Drosophila melanogaster: one gene and its partner. The protein of the gene in region 1 purifies or fractionates together with the protein of each later gene. This does not show direct contact. Each region holds a gene or a part of one and is shown in the gene's direction. Other genes may lie near its edges.

The links.
Region 2: the proteins of bsh (region 1) and Grx3 purify together in Drosophila melanogaster (affinity purification with mass spectrometry, with the first as the bait; one large-scale study listed by BioGRID). This does not show direct contact.

Annotation. Positions count from the first base shown.
Region 1 is NT_033779.5:19,764,365-19,772,477, reverse strand, and holds bsh (brain-specific homeobox), read left to right. Parts: upstream 1-3,410; 5' UTR 3,411-3,548; coding exon 3,549-3,991; intron 3,992-4,463; coding exon 4,464-4,738; intron 4,739-5,127; coding exon 5,128-5,430; intron 5,431-5,849; coding exon 5,850-6,118; 3' UTR 6,119-6,702; downstream 6,703-8,113. UniProt on the Drosophila melanogaster protein: DNA binding protein that function as transcriptional activator. May play a role in the determination and function of cell types in the brain.
Region 2 is NT_033779.5:13,362,921-13,368,575, forward strand, and holds Grx3 (glutaredoxin 3), read left to right. Parts: upstream 1-3,526; 5' UTR 3,527-3,610; coding exon 3,611-3,820; intron 3,821-3,884; coding exon 3,885-4,147; intron 4,148-4,210; coding exon 4,211-4,388; 3' UTR 4,389-4,490; downstream 4,491-5,655. Other genes in the region: Nnp-1, read right to left, coding at 1,093-3,156; Tap42 (Two A-associated protein of 42kDa), read left to right, coding at 4,804-4,926, 4,997-5,655.

The DNA of each region.
Region 1 (8,113 bases):
ATCGAAATATGTGCACACGATGATTTGTCGAGGGGCAGGCAGCTTGTAATTTGCTGGCATTTTCCGATTTTATCAGCCGGCGGGGGCAGCATCGCTGTTATTTTGATACAGTTGTTGGGCTCTACGGCCATGTAGTGTGCTATTTAATTGAATTTATCCCGCGCAATTATCGTGAAATCTACTGAACAGCCAGGACCTACAACTCGCTCGATTGTTCGGCCACTGAATTCCCGGATATGGCGTTTTTGGTGGGCGTAACTCAACAATTTCCGAGCATATTTCCTATTTAAATGCAACCGAATAGCCATTTGATTGCGAGTTACGTGAGGATTTTTCAAGAGTGGGACCAACTGGGTAATCTTCAATAGCGGCTTAAAAACAGAACTATATTTATTTATTGGCAATAGATCTTCAGACTTTCTTGTATTGGTGAAAATACTCGTATACTGTCAGTAGGAAATGAAAAAAAAGTAACAATGAAACTGCATAATCCCTGATATTGAAATTGGCGACAATTTAGTAACATTTATGATGCATCATGTCAATACTTACAATACTTACAAGGGCAGAGTTTGCATAATTATTTAAAAAAAATTATGTTATAATGACATACATTCTTACCATAGATTAAGACCAAGCGTTTTCTTTGAACATCTTTTTTTTCTATTAATAGCTTTGAACGATTCAGGTGATATCGAGCTATAATTGCAGTTTAATGCTACAATTTTTTAAATCATCGCATTGCCTTTTGATCAGATTGATTAAACTAGATAAGTCTTGGCAGACTTTCAATTTGTAGCTTTAAGTCATTACGTAAAGGAAGTCTGCATCAATTTGTAAAAATAAGCAACTTTAATTTTAGCTTGAGCTGAATTGAATTCGTTATTCAATTATCCTTAAACAGGAACTACAAGTACGATTTTTTCATCCTTGAAGGATTAGCAAAAAACAAAAATCCAATACAACAAAGGTTGCGTAAGGATGTAGCCACTTGAGCGCTGCTCCCAAAAACAAAGGACCCGCAAGGATGTTCAAGTTTGTGTTGCTTGTATCAGAAGTTAATTTACCGAGAATCAAACTTAAATGCGGAAAGAGGATCTGAGGCAATGTGCCGCCAATATTCACCCCTGTTGCGAGGTCGAGCGCGACCTATGGCTTATGTAACCTGATCGGTGACACACTTCAGCTTTGATTCCAGGGAATTATGCTAACACAAAAAAGGAGGCAAGGAGACGTTCATGTAGACAGCGCAGAAGGATTTGCCAGACAAACTGACACAAAATGTTGTAATTGCCCCAAGGAAAAGCACCCTCCTTCAGCTTAAACCGCAAAGTGGCTGGCAATTCGATGCCCCAGACGTAGTAGCATTTTTATTATTATAAAAATTAGGCTCAGTCCGTCGGACGGGGCACGTGCAACAATGGGAAATTAGGCAGACTAAATGATGGCTCAAAAATATGATCTGCCCTCATAGTTGGCCATGGGAATCTCTGCTCGCAAATCCGCTGATTTCCACCTAGCGAGAAAAATCAATAAAAAACGCAAGGTAGACACGCCACCGAGCAGACTCAAAAAGAACTGAACAAAATATATGTCCTCACAAAGGCCCTTTGGCACGTTCATGTCAGCGGGTTAACAATGGATGACACCGAAGAGTAGTCCATGGAGGAGGAGGTGGATGTGGAGGCGGAGCAGCCAGTTAAGAGCTTTCGGCCAGGTGAGAGAAGTGCTCATCTCTGGCTGGGATACCTTTTTCCAGCTTTCCACTTCTATGGAGCTCTAAACTATATGTAACTATAGTCTCGAGATATTTTATTCTATTAATATTCTTTCTCTAAGATAAATATCAGTTTTTATTTCTCATATATGTAATAATAAATATATTTATAATAAATAATAAATAATAATAATAAATATATTTATTATTAAGGTATACAACCCTTAAATTAAAATTTAATTTAGATGGGATTTCATAAAATAGATTTATAGAAAATGAAAAGAATATTATAAAATAGATATTAAAAGAAAAACGTTGTCTTTTTAGGAACTATGAATCTTATATCTTTTTAATTTAATAATTTTAAAATTGGTAGAGCACTTCTGAAATTAGGTTATCACTTTTAAGTACTATTATTCTAATATCTTTTAAATACAATTAAATATTTTTATTCGTTAACACAAACCCCATAACCCCCCAATGTCCTTAGAGAAGCTGAGATATTTTTGCCCAGGAACAGGGCAGCACATCCCCAAGCAGACCCAACCATCACCGCGATCACTCGAATGCCATCCTAATGCGCCCATTTTAGGGCTTTAACCTAATAATGACGTTCGACTTAGTTTGCGTGACTTATTTTATTAATAAAACGAGCAAATTTGTCTTGCTTTTTGGTCGCATCGTCGTCATATGCTTTTTCTCTCTCGGCGATGTCTCGTTATTGTCCTTCCTTCCTGCTCTGTTTGTGGAGACCCCCCCCCCCCATATTTCCCTCTCTCTGAAGGAATTAAGGACTTTCCGCTGTGAGGAAAGACTGATTCTCAAAGCAACAGGACGAAACAGGACGAGTATAGTTGCGAAAGCAACCCCTCGGCGAGCTCTTCGCCGATTGGTGGCTTGCTGGAAAGGAGGCACGCCCCCTTTTTCGATGGTGTCACTTGGTTGGGTGCGGAGGGGGCCGGGTGTCCTTGGTGGGTGGTGTACGGCTATGTGGGGCTCTGATTCAATTAACCGCGCGGGGAAAAAATATCTGAATGCAAAGCAGGCGAATGCTTGGCCCCAACCCAGCGGGTACAGTTGCGCTGGCTCCACCTAGCAATTATCCTGTCACAGCAGCAGAATCGATTGTTTAATTCAATTATAATAATTGTGGCATTTAATGCACGCACATCATCAGCCAGACAGCCAACAATGGCGGCCGTGACACGTTAATTATGACAAGTGGGTGCCAAATGGGCGGCTGGGGACGTGGCAGGATGTGCCTGCCTCGCAAAATGGCGGCAGAGCAAGGACGCATAGTTGTGCAACTTATTTGCGGCTAACGGGGGTCAATTAAACTAAGGTTTTTCCGCACTAATCGCATGTCCAGTGGATGCCAGCAGAGAGATGGGTGCTCAAAATCCTGCCAGAGCAGGACAACCCTATGCGCATGCAAATCGAGGGGTGTGTTCATGTGCCCGCTTACGGGGATTCCCCGAATATTGCCGCTCTAAGCGGGCACCGCAAAGCGGGCCAACTGCAGCCGGATTGAGGAGGGGGTGGCACTGCCTGCGCTCGCATTTTTTCCCCCCCTTCGATTTTCCCCTTTTCGCAGGATGCAGGACCATATCGCCGGCTCGCTCGCACATGTCTGCTGGCAGCTCGTTTAGAGCAATTTGCTGGTTGATGTGCGGTGATTGCCGCAAACTCAACGCGACCGTCAACGAGCAAACAACATAAGCGCGCGCGCGGTCCAAGGACACGTATATATCCCGGCTGGCTGGCACATCTCCTGGCTCCGGTCTCCATCACTGCTCCTCGTGCTCCTCCTGCTCGGCCATCCTCCAGCGCAATGGCAATGCTTAATGAGGCCAGCTTGAGTCCTGCGGACGCACATGCTCATGCCAACGCCACCACGCCCACGCACAGCAAGGCGGCGGCGATGGCCAGTGCCACCACAATGCTGACCACAAAAACGCCGTTTTCCATCGAGCACATATTGTTTCAAAACTTAAATAGTGCCAGCAATAACAATAATAGTAGTGATACCAACGGCATCGCCGCAAACACCAACAACTACGCGCCAAAGAGCAGCAGAAACGCGGTGAAAAGTGCCAGAAGCGCATTTGCCCACGACAATAATCCGCACAAACATCCGTCGCAACATTCGCATCCGCCGCAGTCACATCCGCCGGCGTCCGCATCCGCATCCGCGACGGCTACTGCCCGCAGCAACCAGGCTGCGTCGGGTTACGCTGGCGAGGATTACGGCAAGTCCATGCACAGCACTCCACGGTTGGTTTCCGAATTCCAAGGCCTAATACTACTGCAGTGAAATTTTAGTTTAAAAAACTTTAATTTTAAGCCAATATAATTGCATAGAAAAGTGAAAAAAAGTAATTAAAATAAAAAAAAAATAAATAAAAAATAAGATAATATTAACAAAGTGAATTTATAAAAGAATAAGAAGTAAACATGAAACATCAAATACGATAGATAGTCACACCTTCTTGAAGACAAATATTTTGGAATAGCATACACCTTTAAAATCTTACTTTGGATTATGTTCTTTTAAATTATAGAATATTTTTTGTAAGAAAAATGATATTTTGGAAACATAGAAATCAGGCTTACCATAAAGCTTAATGTATCTGGGAATATATATTTGTATTTAAGCATATTAGCATAAAAATCACTATTGGACATAAAGAGAATAGTTTAACATCGAAATACCAATAGACCCCTAATTGAACCACTTGCTTCGTAGGTCCAACCACCACTCGCGACACGGAACTTCCCACTACAACGGAGATCAGATTTCGCAGCAGTTGGGATCTGGAGCAGCACAACATCCGCCGGTGCCCACGACTCAACCTCAACCTCCGCCTCCGCCGCCCCTGAATGGAGGTAGTGGTGCATCCAATGGAGTACTCTATCCGAATGCACCCTACACCGATCACGGATTTCTTCAAATGACCCTCGGATATCTCTCGCCGTCGTCGGGCACCTACAAGTCCGTGGATCCCTATTTTCTATCACAAGGTGAGTTAATGCTCGATATTACAGAGATATCCTCCTAGATGATTCTGATTTGTACTGGTACATACAAACATGTTGGTAATAAGTTAAAGTCGAACTCATAGAAATTAAAAGTCAATTCTAGCTAGAGTTTAGCTAATCGAAAATGAAGTTGGACATATTCTCATTAAAAAGCCAGCACAACATTTAATTTCACATTTAGAACTTTTTCAAAATGAAACCCAAATTAGTAGGACAACTGATGTTGAAGTGCAGTTTTTTGTTGCCACATAGCTTCATTTAGGGGCACTAAAACTCGAAATATTCGGTGTAAATGGCCATCAACACCGAAAGTTTTCATTTGTTCCAACTATAACGAAGTTAACCAAATTTTGCATCCTTTGCCCTTTCAGCCAGCCTGTTCGGGGGAGCGCCCTTCTTCGGAGCGCCTGGCTGTGTGCCGGAACTGGCCCTCGGACTGGGAATGGGCGTGAATGCCCTGCGCCACTGCCGCCGGAGGAAGGCTCGCACGGTGTTCAGTGATCCGCAGCTGTCCGGTCTGGAAAAGCGGTTCGAGGGACAGCGATACCTGTCCACGCCGGAGCGTGTGGAGCTGGCCACCGCCTTGGGACTCAGCGAGACGCAGGTGAAGACCTGGTTCCAGAACCGCCGCATGAAGCACAAAAAGCAGCTGCGCCGGCGCGACAATGCCAATGGTGAGTATATTGATTTCATAATCACAAATTTATTATGAGCAAATTAAATATTACGAAATTTATAATACTCAAATCAAGTTATTTAATATTCAAACCTTTTCTGGGCTGTTAAGAACAACTAGAGCGAAAAAGAGTTGCTCAAGTTTTCCAGCTTTTAGACAATGCAATATTTGAGTTAGCAATTAAATTGTCAAAAGGCATTTCGAGCAGGAGTGGTCAGCGGTTTTCAAATTGGTCACAAAGCACCAAAAACTAGACCACTGGAGTGAGTAGTTTCTTTGAGGAACTTTTGGACTATCAATTAGACCTTTTGGCTTTTAGCCGGCTCCTTGTGATGCAAAAAGTTTTGCTCAAGTTTCAACGCAAATCAAATTAGTTCTAAATTTTGTGGAAATTTCTTTGACTCTTCCATGCCGCAGAGCCCGTCGACTTCTCACGCAGCGAACCGGGCAAGCAGCCGGGCGAGGCCACCTCCTCATCCGGGGACTCCAAGCACGGCAAACTGAATCCCGGATCTGTCGGCGGCACACCCACTCAGCCGACGAGCGAGCAGCAGCTGCAGATGTGCCTGATGCAGCAGGGTTACTCCACGGATGACTACTCCGATCTGGAGGCGGACAGTGGCGACGAGGACAACTCCAGCGACGTGGACATCGTCGGCGATGCGAAACTCTACCAGTTAACATAGACAGTTCGATCGGGATGTGGACCTGGATCCTAAAGTAGTAAAGTTTTCGGTGTTTCAGTTGGGGGAAATACAACTAAAAGAGATTTTCAAATCAAAAAATATCAGTTTCTTTTACTAAATGACTTTTCTATTAGACAAGCACAGAAGTTACAAAACAACACATATATTATCAGCGCGAGCATGGTTATACCATTTTGAAAATATCTATTATTACGATTTAGTACGAACTATAGTTCCTTATAATTGTGGAAACTTACCCATCAGTTTCACCATTGAATTAATTGATTGATTATAACAGATACCATCCAGCTACTCTAGCTGTTTTGATCTTGTCCAAAAGAAACATATTTATTTTGCTATAATTATAGTTGTATTTCCCCCCAGATACATATTTGAATTGAATCGAAAAGCCGTGTAAATACCAACGAGTTCTTGAACGAGTTTTCTAGTCATGTATTAAGTCTAATAACTAATCAAATTTAGTGATTGTATTCGAGAACTTCCATTTTAAGATACATTAGTTCCCTGCGACTTCTTATCCAGAACATAGTGCTTACAATAAACGGAACGGAGCGAATTACGCGAATGCTGGAGAAGTGTTACTGGGTGGGTGGGTGGTGTAGCTTGATGCCCGCCCCCTCGCCGGGCAATCAAATCCAATTGACAACACAAAGTAGCAACTAATATGGTTAAGCAGCGGGAATACTGATGTATGGGGTTGGCGACTGCCACGCCCTGCGCATGTCCTGCCGCCCAAGTGGGCGGGCGGAAGCGGGTGGGATTGGATTGAATCGGGGTGGATGGAAATGCACTTAACAATGGCAAAATAATTGCGGGTTTTCAGACAGCCATTTTAGTGAGACACCCATTGTCAAGTGCGGAATAGAGTGAGGAGGTAAAAGTTAAATGTTTCAAATTGATTGGTAATTACGGGTTAGCAGGAATGCTCTCGAAAAAATATTAATAGTTTACCCGATTAAGAATGAGTCTTGGAGGGAATGGAGTTCCATATGCTTATATACATGTAGATACCTTTGCAGTCATCAAAACTCATGGATCTATTTGTTGAGAGAAGTTATCATTTTTAGTTTCATACTTTGGACTGTTAAGACTTTTCTTGACGTCAACGAAGCATATTCCAATTCTATTCTGGCGATTAAATGGCATATGTACATATGCTTGTTAATAATATGTATTTTTTTATATAAATTTCGAGTGTGTATTGAGTTATGCTCAACTTGGTAAACATGCGAATTAATAATATTCGGAATAATATACAACCTAAGGTCGAAGCAATGACAAGTCGCAGTCGCTTTAGCCACTTGTATTTTCCCAGTGAATACAGAAACTAATAAGTAGTACTCTTGGGCTTATCTTGCTATTGATAAGCTCAATGTGAAATAAACTGCTAGAGACGAGCCTCCCTCGATTTTAAGAGGTTGGCAATAAAAATCACAATAAATGTTTTGATTTTAGACTCTTAGTTAGTATAACTCGTATTCTCATGGACCATTTCACATCATACTTATTGTTTAAAATGTTCTCACAGTGAAGCATTTAACGATGGCATTTTCATCGGTAAGCCTGACCACTCTCCTCCGCTCTTCATATGTGGCTCCCTCTTAGTTTTGGAGCCATATGTCTGCAGCTTATGCTCCCCATCTGGACTTGGACTCTCTTCCACTCCGCTCTCTCTTCTATATACATTTTCCGTGTGTATGCTATTTACGTGCTATCAGTTGCCGTTGAAAACAAAACAAAATGTAGGAGAAGGGATGAGAAAGCCGACCATTCTATTCACTAACTTTTATTGCCGATAACTTAAATAATAGTTCAGTTAGATCATACGAATGATAAACAAATGGAAATACTGAATTTTTATAAAACATTAAAAGAATCTTCTTATATTATATATCAAGTATATTCTTCTATAATACTTTATGATTTCTTCAACTTTAATTAATAATCTATAATAGCTTAGTTATACTCTTATTA
Region 2 (5,655 bases), 6.4 Mb from region 1:
TCCATATATTAAATATAATTCAGAGAATTAAACATATTAAATTAGTCTAACCACAGTAACTTTAAGCATTGATAAGTGTCACTAAAATGGCATTTAACATTTGAGTATTATTTCTGCAACTTTTTAAACTCATTCTCAGTTTTTTGTCTCAATTGAGTGTTTTGATTGAGTGGGTGTTTTTAACTCTCTTAGCTGCATATTCCTCCCTTAAATGCAGTTTTTTTTAGCTCAACTACCAATTGAGTGAATGTTAACGGAATGTTAACTGCAATCTCAAGACTCAAGCGCAGTTCTGAGTGAGTCAAATATGTGGCTTTGAGTGGAACAGACTAAGCTCATAAGAGTCATGAGCAGTATTTTGACGATTCTTTTGCCCAACCATGATATAAAATAATAATGACATATTTATTTTCAAAATGTTGGTATAATAATAAGCTATTAACTATCAAATAGCTATTGATATACATTCGTTTTCCCCATTCTCTGCTCGAAAAAATATAGTTTTGAAATTTGAAAGCTGGAATTGTTAGCCCATCAAAATGCTAAATTACTTAGTTCTTTCTGTACCTGGTAATTAAATAAACTTTGTGATTCGTATTTGATTTTACATATACTACGTTTGCTTTTATTTCAACTCAGATCAGAGGATAGCTTGAACATAAAATGGCCTACAAGCAATAGTATTTTAAGTCGTAATTGTAACTACTAAAAGATTAGGGGATTACATTTAGTACATGTCTTATACGGATTTTATTTGAGTAGAAATTAGTCAAGGCAACACGGAACTATCGTAAATTTCAACTATTCTAGAAAATTGAAATATTTAAGCATAGTAACGGTGCTCTCGAAACTAAACAAAAGGGCTTTAACATTGTAAAATAGAAAAATATAGCATGGAAACTTTCGTGTGTATAGACGTATTATAAAACCAGCATAAGACATGCCTATTGTGGATGTGTTATCTTATACTGCCTTATAAGGAAGTAGTATGATGCGAAGCGCTCCCCCTTCTTCATCGTCCCTCAGAGCACTAAGTCCAAATTAATCTTCCTCATCCTGTCCCAATCCCAGTCGCTGCCACTAGACGCTTTGTCACAGAGTGTCGTTGAACAAGCGCTTGGCCTTGTAGCTCGGATGAATCGGTCCCGGTATCCAGTGTGGCTTAAGGGCACTCTTACCGGGCAACCGATTCGCGTCGTAGGGCACCTGCGGAGACAGCTTCAGCTGGCGGTAGTAATCGCTCTTGGGGTAGATGCAGTTGCTCTTAGTCACGATCCGCACATGCTTGCCACTGCCCGTTTGTGGAGTCGCAAACTCTGCGCGCGCAGGCTGTTTGGGTGTGGACTGCGGCAGCTTACTGTTGGCCTGCTTCACTTGCAGTTTTCGAGAGGGAACAAAGATGTCCTGCTCACCGTCCTCTAAAGGGGCATCCCATCCGTTGGTCGGAGCATCATCATCAACACCGGCAGCCTTCGTTTTGGGAGTCGGCTTGGCCTTGGACTGTCCCTCCACCTTAGGTGTGGGCTTGGGCTGCTCGTCTGTCTTCGGCTTCGACTGCTCCTCCTTCGTCTTGGAGTGGTCCAATTTCTTGCGCTTCGCAGGCTCTTCTTTTTCTGCCTTCAAGGTCGGTTGATCCTCTATCTTGGGCTTGGACTGGTCATTCTTCGGCTTAAGCTGGCTTTTCTTCTTCACCTTCGTCTGGTCATCTTTGTTCTGCTGTGGCGGTTCTTCCTTTTTTGCTTTCTTCGACTTGGGCTCGGCCTCCTTGACCTCCTCTACTACCCATGCGTTGTTTATGCTAGAACGCACCTTTGCATTGTAATTCACCTTCTTCTGCAGCTCAGGAGGCAGAGCCTTGCTAATAACCTCATCGTAGTTGTGCTCGTCCACCTCCTCAAAGTTAATGGACTGCAGTAGGCGTTTGCGTTTGGATTTGTTGAGCTTCTTCAGTTTTCTTCCGGTTGCAAAGACCTCGTCCTCCATCTTATCTAAGGCAGCCACTTTTTGCTCCACCATTTCGGACAGAGTTTGTCCCTCCACCTTTGGCATTGTCCTCACGCCAAGTGGAAACTCTCCTCTCTGGTAAGTCTCAAAGATCTGGATAAGTTTGCGCAATCCCTTGCGTCTCTTGCTGTTAAAATCGTTGGTGCGTAGCTGCGTCTGCAGCTCATCTAGTACGCAATCAGCGTTGAGCGGCAGCTCCGGCATGTGAACGTCCACGTTGCCCGCTCGGGGATCCAAGGATGTGGCCCGCGGCTGCTCCTCCTCGGCGTTGACCTCGTCATCCTCCTCGTCAAATCCAGAATCTAGTTTCTCAATGTCATCAATGGAGGCGGTGGGGAAACCCATCTGCTTCCAGGCATTGTACTTTTCGCTGTACTGTCGTCCTAAGTCGCTCTGGTACATCAGATGATAGAGTACCCTTGTGCGGCACTGTGCCACTAGCTTAGCATCGCGTTGTGTAGCAATGTAGGTGACAAACGGACGCAAGAACATATTAACCTGAGCAGCAGTGATCTCACCATTGGCCGCCTTGGCCAGCTCCTCAAAGAAAACATCTAGGTAGTGCATGGTCATGCCGCGAGACTTAGGCTGCTCCGACATCACAGAAAGCTGCATGCTGCTGTTGAATGCGGCTATCAGGTCCGCATTCCAGTTGTTCTGTTTGAGGAATCTCAGTAGATAACGCACCATGCGGCGGGTGAGCATCAGGAATTTGTCCATGCGCCACTGATCTATGCCAAAGTACTCCTGGCACATTGTGCGCATAAACGCACTAAAGTAGGCCAGACTGCAGGCCGTATTACCGCCGAAGCTGTCCACCATTTGAGCCAACTTCTCGGCCAGCTCCTCCTGCACCAGCGGCTTATCCGACATCCACATGGTGTAGTACAATCCCTTCCAGATGCGCATGAAGTCGTCCTCGTTGAAGGGAAAGGAGCTACCGGCACGCGCCTTGAACCACTTGCGCAAAATGCGGATCTGGCGATTACGCTCCACCACATCGTTGCAGGCAAGAGCACGTATAATTTTCACCTCCTGGGCGACCACCATCAGCTCCTTGGCCACCTTCGGCTGTGAAGCGTCCTCCTCCTGCTCGACCTGGATTTCGGCCGCCTCGGCGTTGCGCTTAACTGGCTTCTTGCGCGTCACCATTATCCGGCTAATTCAACTTTTAGTTGCGAAAAATAAGTGAGCTGTGTATATTGAATACGGTACGGCACGACCGCACGTGTTGCCGTTCGATGTTGCCAGATGTTGAAACGACATTTTCTCCAAATTTCGTCCAACAGCTCTAAATGCATGAGCTGTACTGAAAATGACAACAAAAACTCAAGCTAATGAAATAATTTTCAAAGAATAAAATAAAGAAAAAAAGAATAATAAAAAGAATATTTAAATTGCTAGTTTTGATACTTCATGAAACGCTTGCTTTATACATTTTAATACAATTTTATATATTTTTAGCCATTTATAGGTTGTTATTTTATAGCTACCAGCGCTGACTTCTTTACGGAAAGTGGCAACTCTCTTCCACAGCTGATAATTCGGTCTGCTTTTTGTAAATTTTGCTTGTCCAGCAAATTTAGTTAAATAATTCAAAGAAATCATGCCCGTGGTGAACGTGTCGGCTGCCGAGGAGTACCAGAAGTACATTAATGCGGATAAGACGACCGTAGCTCTATTCGCCGCCGAATGGGCAGAGCAATGCGGTCAGGTGAAAGACGCGCTGGAGGAGCTGGCCAAGATTACTGGCGAAAAACTGCAGTTCATCAGCCTAAACGCTGAACAATTTCCCGAGATTTCCATGAAACATCAGGTACGCTCGTATTTATTTTATGAAAATATAACAGTAGTTCCTCATTCATTTGCGATGCCACCAGATCGAGGCCGTGCCCACAGTCATATTCTTCGCCAAGGGCTCCGCCGTTGACCGTGTCGATGGTGTAGACATCGCCGCCATAAGCGCCAAATCCAAAAAGTTGGCCGAAAACGCAAGCAGCGCGGCGGCAACAGGACAAACGTTGGAGGAACGCCTAAAGGCCCTAATCAATACAGCTCCGCTGATGATATTCATGAAGGGCGACCGAAATGGACCGCGTTGCGGATTCTCCAAGCAGCTCATCGGCATTGTGAACGAAACCAAGTATGCAAATTGATCATCAGTTGTATTTGATTTCAAGTTATAAACGAAAATATCCTTCGATAGCTTGCCGTACGAGACATTTGACATCCTCGGCGACGAAGAAGTGCGTCAAGGCCTGAAAACCTACTCCGACTGGCCCACATATCCCCAGGTTTACGTCAAGGGTGAACTTATCGGCGGACTCGATATTATTAAGGAACTGCTGGCGAACAATGAGCTCGAGTCCACGCTAAAGGGCTAATTCCATCGGATTGCATCTACTCCTACAGACACCATAAACCAGAAACAAATTTTTAGCTAGATCCTTAGACTTTTTAATGGTTTAATAAAGGATTTTTGCTACATTCTGGTATTATTTTATTCATCGAAATTTTTAATAACAATTGTATTAAAGCAAATGTGCTATAGGTCATCCATAAGACATCTTACACGGGCTTCAATGGTGTCACCATAAATGTTTACAAACTTAACGACATAAATATAGCTAGAAATTTGTAAGAACTTTTTTATACACCAGCCCTGGTTTATCTGGTATTTTGCGTACCTTCATTTTGTAAACAGCTGTTTCGGCGTCGGCATCTTGCACATTATTTTCGCAATATTATTTATATTATTGAAAATACCCATTAACTATAAACTTATATCCAAATCTTTAAATGGCTGAGGGTAATACCGCTGGCGGAGAGGACCAAAAGCTGACGGACATCTTTCTAAAGGGCTGGAACATATTCGACGAGCTAGAAGTTACCGAACTGCCCTTCAATGGCAGCGAATTTCAGGTGTGTAATATTGAAGATCTTCATATATATGTAATAAAAACCAGCATTGAACGTTTACCACAACGTTTAGAACAAAGTGAAGACTGCAATGGGCCTTTTCGAGCAGGCCACCGTCATTGTGAACCAGGTTAGCATGTTCAGTGCCAACGAGTTGATCGACGAGGTGTCCACGGAATCGCTACCATTCATGCTGCTCCCTTACTTTCTGGGCAAGCTTACCACTAAGATCAACAGCCCCAATAACACACACTCCATAGAGCTGGGCGAGATTTACTTCAAGGACCACCTGCAGCGTTGCCAGGAGTATGATCTCTGTGCAGCGCCCAAATCTCAGGTGGCTAAGGCGGATAGCCAAGCGGAAAAAAGCGAGCAGCGCGAGCTGGTAGAGGCAGCCTTCAATAGAAACGACAAAATAGCCCAGTATCGCCGGATGAAGGAGATTGACGAGTATATGGCCAGAATGCGCGATGCAGTCAAGAACAAAACGGTCGACGATGAGGATAAACGTGTCTTTTTCCTCAAGTATTTGGACAAGAGTATAATAGACTCCAAGCAGGAATTAGAAACATTGGGCGTAATGAAGCAGCTGGCCCAGATGCGCCTTGCCCGATTGGCTGGTGGCGAATCCGACAACGAAGTGGATTCGTTCCGTCCACCGAATCAAAATCAATCTTCTGCATCGTCCACCTCCCGCGGTCATGGTCACAGCCACGGACCCGGACACCACCA